Saccharomyces cerevisiae S288C: one gene and its partners. Changing the gene in region 1 together with any one later gene gives a genetic interaction. Each region holds a gene or a part of one and is shown in the gene's direction. Other genes may lie near its edges.

Region 1 (4,750 bases):
AGGGTGCGTACTTGCTTATGGCTTATTCGGTATTTTAAACATGAGGATTATTGTACCACGTTTTAGAAACGGCACATTCACCCCGGAAGCTTTTTTAATCGTGGCAATGTGTGTCTGCTGGTGCCTGCCTCTGTCTTTGTTCTTATTTGGTTGGACTGCTCGAGTGCATTGGATTTTGCCAGTTATCTCGGAAGTTTTTTTTGTTTTAGCTGTCTTTAACATTTTCCAAGCAACTTTTGCATATTTGGCTACATGCTACCCAAAGTATGTTGCATCCGTTTTTGCAGGCAATGGTTTTTGTCGGGCTTCGTTTGCCTGTGCTTTTCCGTTGTTTGGTAGAGCAATGTATGACAATTTAGCTACTAAGAACTATCCTGTGGCATGGGGTTCGTCCTTAGTGGGGTTCCTAACTTTAGGTCTAGCTATTATCCCGTTTATACTTTATAAGTATGGGCCATCATTACGTACAAGATCTTCGTACACAGAGGAGTAGAAAGCCGATGTTCTTACCATGAAAATTTGAATTATAATAACACAATTTTACTTATCGTCCATCTGTCGACAAAGATGTTCCACATAAGTTTACGTAAAGTTTAGCAGTGAAATAAATACTGTTCATAATGAACTTCATTGTTTATAAAAGTTGTTGTTGCAAGTATTCTCATGTTTATTTATCGCAGACTTGAAATCTTTGAAGGAAGATCTAAGGTCTACACACTATCGGTTACTTTGTGACCCTTTGCTTACCATACGGATGAAAAAAGAAAGAGGAATTACTTGAGCCACAATATCCTTCACTCATATTTGAAAATAGTACTTACTAAAGAAATATGCAACCATTTATACACGTAAGAAGTTCAATTATCAAATAGAAATTAAGCAAAATACTCAATTGAATACAGAGCAAAAGGATTAGCCATACGTTCTAGCACATTTTATGGGCCTAAGACATCATTTCCAGTTAACAGATAATATATTTCTACATAAAAACTTGGCTGTTCCACTGTCAAAGCCAAAAAGAGTCATTTGGTCATGAGAGTAGCTATGTTTCTACGACGAATCGAAAAAAAATGCATACTATTGATATCAAAATCATGCAGAAGGAACACATATTCATATATAACTAATCAGAGGATAAATCCTCTTGCGAATAAAAAGTTTGCGATGTTCTGATGCTTCAGGATTTCCTCTTAATAAATTCATATTTGAAGAGCCAAAGAACCAAAAGAATTGTACAAATTTTCTTCATCTATGAGAGGCCTAAAGGTTCGGGTTTGCTGCTATGTATCCTTGCTAAATTTTGATTATATTATGGCATTTATCGCTATTGCGTTTGCTTGCTGTTGCGCAAAAAATAATACAAAATACCTGATAATGTAAACAACGTAAATAATACAGGAAGTGATGCAAGAGAAGCTGCACAAAACTGCAGCATGCCTCACTTCGAAAAAAAAAAAAAAAAGAAGGAAGTCAGAAGAAGCAAGCCGATCTAAGACAGCTATTACCTCTAACAAGTAAGTCATAGATCAGAACGGCAATACCAGCCAGTGTACAATACAGCTGCATTACAACATAGCGTTTCTTGAACTTTTAGGTGACTGCTGGAAAAAATGAACGCGTCTCATATCGTGTGCGATGGCAACACCGGATCCCTGCGCTCAGAACATTCCGTGGACACCCACTGTCACTTCTTCGAGCCCCACCATTCCTTTACGCAGCCTGCGTGTGTTTCTGCGCGTTAAAACAATTATCACAGAAGGCTCCGGACGAAGAGCGGCAGAAAGAACAACGGTGCAACCGTCGTTGAATTTGATTATCAAATCACCTTATCTGCCATCGTGTTCTAGTAGTCTTCCATTGTATTACCACGGACATTCAAAAATAGTTCTTCTTTAGCAACTCTTTTTTTCTGTTGCCATTGCTCTTTGCGATAGCACATTCTGTTCCTCAATGCTAAATATAGGTGGAACTTGTAGGAGCCTCGAGAAAAAACAGAAAATCTAGAAAAACAAACGGACTTTTACGTCACACGAAAAGTAATGAATCAAAATTTAAAAAACACTTCTTGGGCTGATCGAATAGGAAGCGACGATCAAGAAAGAAAAGCTAACTCTTCAGAGGTTTCACAAAGCCCACCACCCAATAATAGCTTCGAGTCATCAATGGATTCACAATTTAGCTATGCTCATTCAAATAAAAGTAGCATTTCATTCGAATCTATTCAAACCACGGAAAGACTTCTTGACAAATTAGACCTCAGCTTGGAAGATGAACTGATTCTGCAAGAAGCTTTATTAGAAGAAGAAAACGCGTCGAGAAATTCGCAACTGTCACAAACAAGTGGTCCAACATTATGTATGCCTGCGTCGGAATTCCCTTCATTAAGGTATAGAACTAATCCCTCTCCAACATATATACAAGCTAGAGATCGTTCTCTTATCATAGACAATTTAAAAGAAAAGGATTCCACTTTGAGAGGCAAATACTCTTCCGGTAAAGTGGAAAGGCATTTGCCCGTGAAGTCGAGATACTCTTATATCGTCGAAGAAGATTATGACTCTGAGACTTTTAGTGGCATGAAACCCCAAATGAATAGAAATGAGAAAGATTATAAGTACCCAAACCTTGAAAATGGCAATAGAAGCACAAATAGCCCTAATCCTTTCAACTTCGAGAAATATAGGATTGAAAATACTAGACTGCACCATCTTTATCCTACGCTGATATCAGACAATAATACTAGCGTTGACAATAATGCTAATAGTAAGAATAACAGAACTACTAGTAATAATATTAATACATCTACAAAAACTGACAGAATATCCGAGAAGCAGAGTTGCCCCAATGAGTTCACAACCACGCAAAAGAGTAATTGTCTTTATCGGAACGGAAGTTCAACAAGCACCAACACCTCCTTTTCTGAAGTTGGACAACTATCAAAGCCGAAAACTCAGTCTTCTTTTGAAAGTGAATCATCCTCATTCTCCAAACTCAAGTTAACTAAGAGTGATACAACACCCATCAAACCATCTCCTAAACGGTCTAATTCCTCTACCTCGACGATAACGAAAACAAATACCATGACAAATGATATTTCATTACCTCCAACGCCACCATATAAAGCTCATAAAAAAAAAACGTCACTAAATTCGCTAAAAAAACTTTTTAAATCTCCTAGGACAAGAGCAAAAAATAAGAAAGACCTTGAGTCTGAAGGATCAAGCCCTATCCGGTCTGCCACCAATTCATTGGACTTCTCTGGGGAGAATATTCAACTTCCATCTACTTCAAGTACCATTAATAATTCCAGTCCACATTTAGCTAGGTATATTTTTCCTCCAAACCCAGTTTTCCATTTTAAAACAGCATCAACACCTCAGTCATCCACGGATAAAAAAAAGAACAGTAAAGCACGTCCAAATAGGACTCATTTGAGAACTTTCTCGGATTTCCATACAACGGAAAAAGATTCAAAAATAGGTGAACTAAGTGCACTAACAGAACAATCAAATAAGCCCTACCACCCGAAAGTTAGAAGAAGAACACTTTCTTTAGATGGTATGTTGCCCAATAATTCGACGCAATGCATGGATTCCTTCAGTCATAAAAAAGAAGGATCGAACGCAACAAGCAAGTGCGGGAAGCTTAAATTTCACCCAGAACCTTATGATAATGATGAATCTTCACACATCGGACAGGCAATTACTATGCGTCATCAAGGCAAACTTGAAGAATCTGCACAACGACTGAAAAAAGCCTGCGCGTGCGGAAACAAAACTGCGTTTCTGTTATATGGACTAGCCCTGCGACATGGCTGCGGAGTGGACAAGAACTTGAAATTATCATTAGGATATTTAATGGCTGCCACTGATATCAAATCCTTTGCTGCTGAGGTTCTTGATTTAGATATAAATCCGTTAAATTTTGCTTCAATGGACGATATCCCTGATATAGCGCCTGAACCAACAGCACCTGCCTTGTACGAATGTGGTATGGCATATTTAAAGGGTCTTGGGATGGATCATCCCGACGAGCGAAAAGGTTTGAAATTTTTGGAAAAAGCTGCTCTATTAGGCCATGTAGACTCAATGTGCTTAAGCGGGACAATTTGGTCCAAAACTTCAAACGTAAAGAAAAGGGATCTCGCCAGAGCTGCTGCATGGTTTAGGATAGCCGATAAAAAAGGTGCAAATCTATTAGGTTCAGATTGGATTTATAAGGAAAAGTACATGAAACAAGGTCCGAAATAAAGATAAAGAAACGTTGTATACATAAAAGCTTACAGAAAGGCTTAAAAGGAAAGGCATTTATTTTCGTACCATATATCTCACAAAAATAGATAGATAGATAGATATGATATTTTATGAATGGTATCACTTATTCCGCTTGTGAAAAACTTCAAAACTCCGTAAATATATGAACTCTTTTCTTTCAAAAAATTTACTTAACTTTCTATATACGAGGAGTAGAGTATTTATACATGCAATAGATATATACAATCATTACAAAGAATCATATTCAATTCTAAGTATCGTCCACGATTACTATTGCTTTAAATGCTGTTTGGCAAATTCCCAATTGTGATGGTCTTCAAAACAGTGTAATCTTCAATACCATATAGCGAACCTTCTCTTCCAAATCCTGACTCTTTAACACCACCAAATGGTATAGAACAATCCGAAAAAACACCTGTATTACATGAAACCATACCAGTTTCCAAAGCTTCAGACACAGTGTATAAAGTGTTGAC
Region 2 (3,764 bases), on another chromosome or scaffold:
GTGATAAGAAATACATGTATGCGAAAGCTCCTACTTGGTACTTGAAAAACTTTGGTTTTTTTACTGAAATTTTAATAACATTAGAATCATCAGTGGTACTCAAAGTAGCAGTTTTCAAGCCACCATTCATGATTATTCTAACAATCCTGCAGAATCTATCAAAGCATAAAATACCAGCCATTGACCAAATCCAACCCATCCAGCCCAGGGTGTGACAATGGTAGTACATGGCAATAATGAACATAATATTCATCGCTTTATGAATAAGAAGGAATATCTCATACCCTCTATTTCTAAATACTTTTTCACTTTGGAAAATAATAATAGACATTAATATCGTTGCCACTATACCCCACCTAAAGTAAAATTTCCTAACCAGACTTTGAAACACACCTCTTTTCACTCCCGAGGCGGTCATGACAATTGAGTGTACAACGGCCAACATGAAACAAACGTAGGCAGACCATTTATGATAGAAATTAAATGTAGAAAAGGAAAGCCCTGTTATAGGGATGAAGGGATTATTTCTTATTCCGAATAGATAGACTACTGGGAAAAGTGCAATGGCCATCAAGTCTGCTCTACGACTCACAAAGGCCATACTTCTTCTCCATCTGGGCCTATCATATGGGTGTGGAAGTTTAATATTATGACCAAAACTGAGAGATAATATAGTCAAAATAACAAAAATTAATACGACGAGACCCTTGCCTCGAGTTGTAAAATTAAATGGTAGACGCTTCCATAAATAAAAAGTTCGTTCATTATAATCTTTGTAAACAGAAGGATAAATAAGTGATTTTTTGACGGAGTTTGCCATGATGTTCTTACCAAACACCCTTTTCAGAATGTTCAAGATAGTGGCTGCAGTAAGCACAGCCACCCAGAAGAAGACGAGACCCCAAGCGCACCATTGAGAGCGCATTAGGTTAAGATGGATACCATAATTTTCCTCATAATAATAATGATACGCTGTCTCGTTCGCCATGAGCGGTTGACTAACCACGGTTTTTTTATCACTTTTCTCAGGTGCTCTCAAATAATTTGACGCATTTAAATAAATATTCTTCATGTCCTCTAAAGTATAAACTTTGATGCTTGAACATTGGGATGCTAACTTCATTAAGGCGCTGTCTAGTGTTTTGTTAGATTTGGAATTCTCATAGGCACATGCTGTCACTGAACCCAGCCAATTGATGTTTTTACAGTAGCAACTTTTAGATTTACTAGAACATCCAAATTGGTATAGCGCAGCTTGGGAAATACATGAAGTGCTAATAAGTGTAGCACTCGATTGAACCGTAGCAAAAAAAGATATAAATAAGCAGAATAATACACGGGTTCTAACCATATTGATCCGGCTCGTTCTTCCGTCGGCGTGAATATGCGAGAAATTAGATGATTATATTACCTTCCAAAAGGGAACTGAAGCATGGAAGAGAGCAAACGACTTCAAAACTGAGATTTTTACATGATTTAAGTATCCATCGCTGTAGATTAATCATCGCAAGATCAGGCACTTTAAGTTCCTTGAGAGAACGATCTAGCCTTGAGGATATTAGAAATTGGGTGTATTAGTAAATCAAAGTCGAGCCGCTATAACAATTTTCGATGAGCAAAAAAAAAAGGTGAGCAAAAATATCGGCGAAAATGTTTGGGTTGGGAGTAGATTCTCACCAAGATTGCCACAGTTAGTGTTCTTGGCAATTGCTGCAAACCCGTCAAGCAACCTAAATACATTTTTATCGGGTATTCTTCAACTATTGTACCGCTCTTTACTGTCAATTGCATCTGCCGTACTTTTCATTTACTTCTTATGTGCTCGTTCTACTATACTTTTAAAGGCGTCACAAAAATTATGTAAAGCCTCGCGACGATCATGTAGGAAAAAAAAAAAAAAGACAATACCAGCTAATAATTATCGATTAATAACGAAATACAAGAACAGTCGTTTAGTTTAGAGTATCATCAAGGGCTTTTGCACGAAATAAAAATATGAGAATATCAATATTACAGCTGGTGCCGGTTGTTGGCTACATCGGATTTGCACTGGGAGAATTATACAAACCCAAAAACTCCATTTCTTGTTCTCCAAATAACCCTTGTCCCGCAGAATGGCCGTGCTGCTCGCCGTATAATGAATGTGGCGCTGGACCGATATGTGTCGGTGGCTGCAACGTGAGGTCATCTTTCGACGAGGAAAGCTGTGCTCCTATACCTGCATTAGTCGCCAGTCAAAAACTTGAATTTGTTAGCACACCAAAGGTTCCTAAATTTATTGTGAACTATCAACCTAAGCCACCAATAAGAGAGGGAAATGGACCGAATAAGGCAAATACCAAGGTGGGTGTAGTAGAAGGGGAGCTAAATTCCAAGAGAATCATACACTACGCCAAATTCTTGGTCACTCCAGACAGTAAAGAGGCAGAGAAAATGTTGGAAGATTTCGATTTCACACATAGCGGCTACACATCAATTGAAGCGAGTAGCGGGAATATTGTTCTGGCTATGCCAAAAAAAACTACCGGAAGTTTGATCACATCGACCAGGTCGTTTCTATACGGCAAGGCAAGCGTGCGAATGAAAACGGCGAGGTCGAGGGGTGTGGTGACTGCATTTGACTTAACATCCGCAATTGGGGACGAGATTGATTTTGAGTGGCTGGGTGGTGATTTAATGACGGCCCAATCAAACTACTATTCTCAAGGGCATTTGGATTACACAAGAATGCAAAGATTTCCCGTAGGCGCTGACACTTGGGCCACTTACCACACTTATGAGATTGATTGGGACCCGGATAGGATAATATGGTATGTTGATGGTAAAATAGCTCGCACAGTCCTGAAGAAGGATACCTGGGACCCCATTAGTAAAGAATATAGGTACCCACAAACGCCGATGAGACTAGAAATCGCTGTTTGGCCAGGCGGCTCGGAAACCAACGGACCCGGTACAATAAACTGGGCAGGTGGCCTCATAGATTGGGAAAATTCACCCGATATTATCGAAAAGGGCCAATTTACGGCGCATGTTGAACAAATCACCGTAACGCCGTACCAAAATAAATTCACAGAACAAGTGCAGTTTTGTATAAAGGCAAAGAAAAAGGCACCAACCTTTTCCCAAAAAGATTTGTCAAGAGTAGTCGTTTCGTATAACAGGCAAGACAGACTGAATCATCATGATGAGGGGTCTCTCAAATGGGACTGCTTTGTTACTCCAAAGATAAATGACTGGTTGAGTTCTTGGAAACGGTCAAAATAGTCACAGCAATAATGTCTTACGAAGTTCTCTCTTCCGTAACGGATCCTCTAATTCCCTGCATGAAGGCACGCTCTAATATATATGTATACATTCTTTAGTTCAAACCTTTCAAGAAACACAAAATGCACCTATTTTCCGCATTGCAATTATTACTAATTTCCTAAAGCAAATATTTACTATTCTCCCATTATAACGTTCTCTCTTTGTTACCCTGACATTCAGAAAATATCACCGGGTAACAGAACGCGTTAATATTATCTTTTGGGAAATTTCATTAAATGTAATAAATAATAATCGTAACAGTAGCTGCGAAATGAACAAATGCGTAATATCGGTTAGTCACATGTATAAGAATTCAACATATAACTATCTATGGGTGGAGAAATTATTACTTTGCAAGCAGGTCAATGCGGGAACCACGTTGGTAAGTTTCTCTGGTCTCAATTGGCGAAAGAACACGCTATAGGCACCGATGGGCTATCTCAGCTTCCTGATTCCAG
Region 3 (3,672 bases), on another chromosome or scaffold:
CAGATTCGCGAAGGCTGTTGGGCATGGTTATGTCATTTTCCAAACTAAAAGCATTATAATATGCGCCTAATTCAGCAAAATACGTGGACAAGGAGTGGAAATGAGATTTATTTGATCTTATGTTTTTTAATAAATGGGTGATTATTCGCTTATAATTTTGGAATAAATTTTCAATATGTGTAAATTGAGATTCGTTTTGTAAAATTTCTGTTGGGAGGTTGGAAATTTCATTATGACTTTTTACTGTGATGTGTTGTTGCCAAATCGAATTATAGTTTCTCAGAGACGAGTTGGATGGAATAGGTAAAATAGAATGAAGGGGGCTTGGTTTTGTTGGGCTTAAAGGTGGAGCTAAAAGGTTATTCAAAGGTAGTATGATTATCGGCGACGAACTTAAAACATCTTTCCAATTAAATTCAGGGTTTAGAAATTTTTGAAAAACAATATCGTTGCTTATTTCTTGAATGTTCAGACAGTTAGACAAGAATGAATTGAGCATTTTCTTCCTGGTGGAGATAATTTTGGAATCATTTGCTGCGTTTATGGGACTCCATATGTATTTGAGAAGAGAATGCTTGGATGGAATGGGTGGAATAATTATCGTAGGAAGGAGTCTAGTTAGAGATTGCCTCAAAGAATGAAATTCAGAGTACCTTCTGATAATCTTGTTGTTTTCATATAGAATTACGTAACCGATAGCGTGTTTCCCCCATGGATCTTTGAAATCGCCGGCATCAATGATTTGGATCTGCTGTGTCCCATTCATATCGTGGGGAGTAAATTTGCTAATAGTAGCAGTAGTAGACATCGACAAGGAAACAAAAGGTTCAGTTTCCGCATCTGCTTCCACTACGGCATGAGAAGAGGTTGAAGATGACGTAGATGCTCTGGAAGAGCCAGCAGAAGAGGAATGTGCCGGGCTAGATGGCAAAGACGATGAAGAAGGGGGCGAATTTTCGTTCTCTGGGCGAGCTTCGCCGATAGTAGTCCCAATTCCAGAAGCATATAGGTGATGAGTGCCGACGAATGGATTATTATCTTCTTCTGAGAGATCCATGTCAGATGTGCTGCTTTGTTGTTCATGTACCGCCTCAAATATGTTGTAGTCCATTTTTTCTGTATGTGTAGTAGTATCCGTTGTTACTCACTACGTGTATAGATGTCTATTTATGTCTCTATCCCTTATCTCTTTATCTTGTTGCCTGGTTCTCTTTTCCCTTTAAATGGAGATTACAAACTAGCGAAACTGCAGAAAAGGAAAGCCTCCAAAACTACTGCCAGGGTAAAAAGTGAAACTGGGAAACGACATAAAGAAGAGCAAATTAAAACCAAAATGAGCGATGAAAATAAGAGTACGCGTATGTCAGTTAATCTCAGTCACAATTTTGTGACTTTCAATACAATTTTTCTTTACTAACTCGAGGAAGAGTGAGGTTTTCTTCCATGAATTGCAGCTATTGTTAAGGCGTCTGACATAGTATGTAATTGTGCCATGATATACATGTTTTGTGTGTGTACATTTGAATATATATATTTACTAACAAGGAGAAAACTTAGACCGACAAGCTGAAAGAGGATATTTTAACCATCAGTAAAGATGCTCTGGACAAGTACCAGTTGGAAAGAGACATTGCTGGGACGGTAAAGAAGCAATTGGATGTCAAATACGGCAATACCTGGCATGTGATTGTCGGAAAGAACTTTGGGAGCTACGTGACACACGAAAAGGGCCATTTTGTTTATTTCTATATCGGTCCACTGGCGTTTTTAGTTTTCAAAACAGCATAAATAGTGTTTCTTCAATAGTTAATCGATAATCAATTACTATTATACTTTCATACGAATGGGGTGTTACTTTTAAGGACGACATATAAGCAATGGAACGACCAGTTAAGATAAATGGGCAATATCCTTCGGAAAGGTCAGCAAATATATTTAGCAGGTGACATGAAGAAGCAAATGTTGCTAAATAAAGATGGAACACCTAAGAGGAAGGTGGGCAGACCAGGCAGAAAAAGGATTGACTCTGAAGCTAAGAGTAGGAGGACTGCCCAGAATAGGGCAGCTCAACGAGCGTTCCGAGATAGGAAAGAAGCCAAAATGAAGAGTTTGCAAGAGAGGGTAGAGTTACTAGAACAGAAAGATGCGCAGAATAAGACTACCACGGACTTTTTACTATGTTCTTTAAAAAGTTTACTGTCGGAAATTACAAAATATAGAGCTAAGAATTCTGATGATGAAAGAATATTAGCCTTCCTCGATGATCTGCAAGAACAACAGAAAAGGGAAAACGAAAAAGGAACAAGTACAGCAGTTAGCAAGGCTGCAAAGGAATTGCCATCGCCTAATTCAGATGAAAACATGACTGTGAACACAAGTATAGAAGTACAGCCGCACACTCAAGAGAATGAGAAAGTTATGTGGAACATAGGCTCATGGAACGCTCCCAGTTTAACCAATTCGTGGGATTCTCCCCCCGGAAATCGAACAGGTGCCGTTACCATCGGTGACGAAAGTATTAATGGTAGTGAAATGCCAGATTTCAGTCTCGATCTTGTCTCCAATGATAGACAGACTGGTCTAGAAGCTTTAGATTACGACATTCATAACTACTTTCCTCAGCACTCTGAACGCCTGACCGCTGAAAAAATAGATACGTCAGCATGTCAATGTGAAATTGACCAAAAGTATCTTCCATACGAGACAGAAGATGATACTTTATTCCCCAGCGTGCTTCCCCTTGCTGTAGGGAGCCAGTGTAATAATATTTGCAACCGCAAGTGTATCGGGACCAAACCATGTTCAAATAAGGAGATCAAATGCGACTTAATAACAAGCCACCTGTTGAATCAGAAATCTCTAGCTTCGGTGCTTCCGGTGGCTGCTTCTCATACTAAAACAATTCGAACCCAATCTGAAGCAATTGAACACATTAGCAGCGCCATATCGAATGGAAAAGCGTCTTGCTACCACATTCTCGAAGAGATCTCCTCCCTACCAAAATATTCATCGTTGGACATAGATGATTTATGCAGCGAATTAATAATCAAGGCAAAATGTACAGATGACTGCAAAATAGTAGTCAAAGCTCGCGACTTACAGAGTGCTCTGGTTAGACAGCTCCTGTAGCATATAAACATATCTTGAGTATACATAATGTTGGATGAGAGCATGTAATATTGATCGCTTTGTACGATGATTATACCTTTTTTGTCTTTTTACCATTGTCTCTGATGGAATACTATTGACAATTAACAATGGTAGATATATCCGATACAAGTGGATACCTACATAAACAAGGTGTCTTACCTAGTGTTTCTTTCATTTGCACTTCTTTTTTTGCGTGTGGACTGACATCTTGGAAAGTTGAACTGTCATATTATATAGTTGTTGCAGCCGCCATGGGAAACAGTCCTTCTACTCAGGATCCATCGCATTCAACCAAAAAGGAGCATGGACATCATTTTCATGATGCATTCAATAAAGATCGTCAGGGAAGCATAACCTCTCAACTGTTTAACAATAGGAAGAGTACTCATAAGAGACGCGCCAGTCATACTAGCGAACATAATGGTGCCATTCCCCCTAGAATGCAATTACTTGCATCTCACGATCCATCGACAGATTGTGATGGGCGCATGAGCAGTGATACTACTATCGATAAGGGCCCGT

The links.
Region 2: mutations in DSF2 (region 1) and CRR1 together harm fitness more than expected from each alone (negative genetic interaction), as found in Saccharomyces cerevisiae (2 studies listed by BioGRID).
Region 3: mutations in DSF2 (region 1) and CAD1 together harm fitness more than expected from each alone (negative genetic interaction), as found in Saccharomyces cerevisiae (2 studies listed by BioGRID).

Annotation. Positions count from the first base shown.
Region 1 is NC_001134.8:248,306-253,055, reverse strand, and holds DSF2 (Dsf2p), read left to right. Parts: upstream 1-2,039; coding exon 2,040-4,250; downstream 4,251-4,750. Other genes in the region: FLR1 (Flr1p), read left to right, coding at 1-493; UGA2 (succinate-semialdehyde dehydrogenase (NAD(P)(+))), read right to left, coding at 4,553-4,750.
Region 2 is NC_001144.5:566,154-569,917, reverse strand, and holds CRR1 (putative glycosylase), read left to right. Parts: upstream 1-1,995; coding exon 1,996-3,264; downstream 3,265-3,764. Other genes in the region: FRE1 (ferric/cupric-chelate reductase), read right to left, coding at 1-1,351; TUB4 (gamma-tubulin), read left to right, coding at 3,637-3,764. UniProt on the Saccharomyces cerevisiae protein: Spore specific glycosidase involved in spore wall assembly during sporulation. May be involved in copper import.
Region 3 is NC_001136.10:1,317,503-1,321,174, reverse strand, and holds CAD1 (Cad1p), read left to right. Parts: upstream 1-1,899; coding exon 1,900-3,129; downstream 3,130-3,672. Other genes in the region: SNX41 (Snx41p), read right to left, coding at 1-1,111; DYN2 (dynein light chain), read left to right, coding at 1,334-1,358, 1,455-1,477, 1,558-1,788; SIP1 (Sip1p), read left to right, coding at 3,402-3,672. UniProt on the Saccharomyces cerevisiae protein: Transcription activator involved in oxidative stress response and cadmium resistance. Regulates the transcription of genes overrepresented for the function of stabilizing proteins including the inducible Hsp90-family protein HSP82.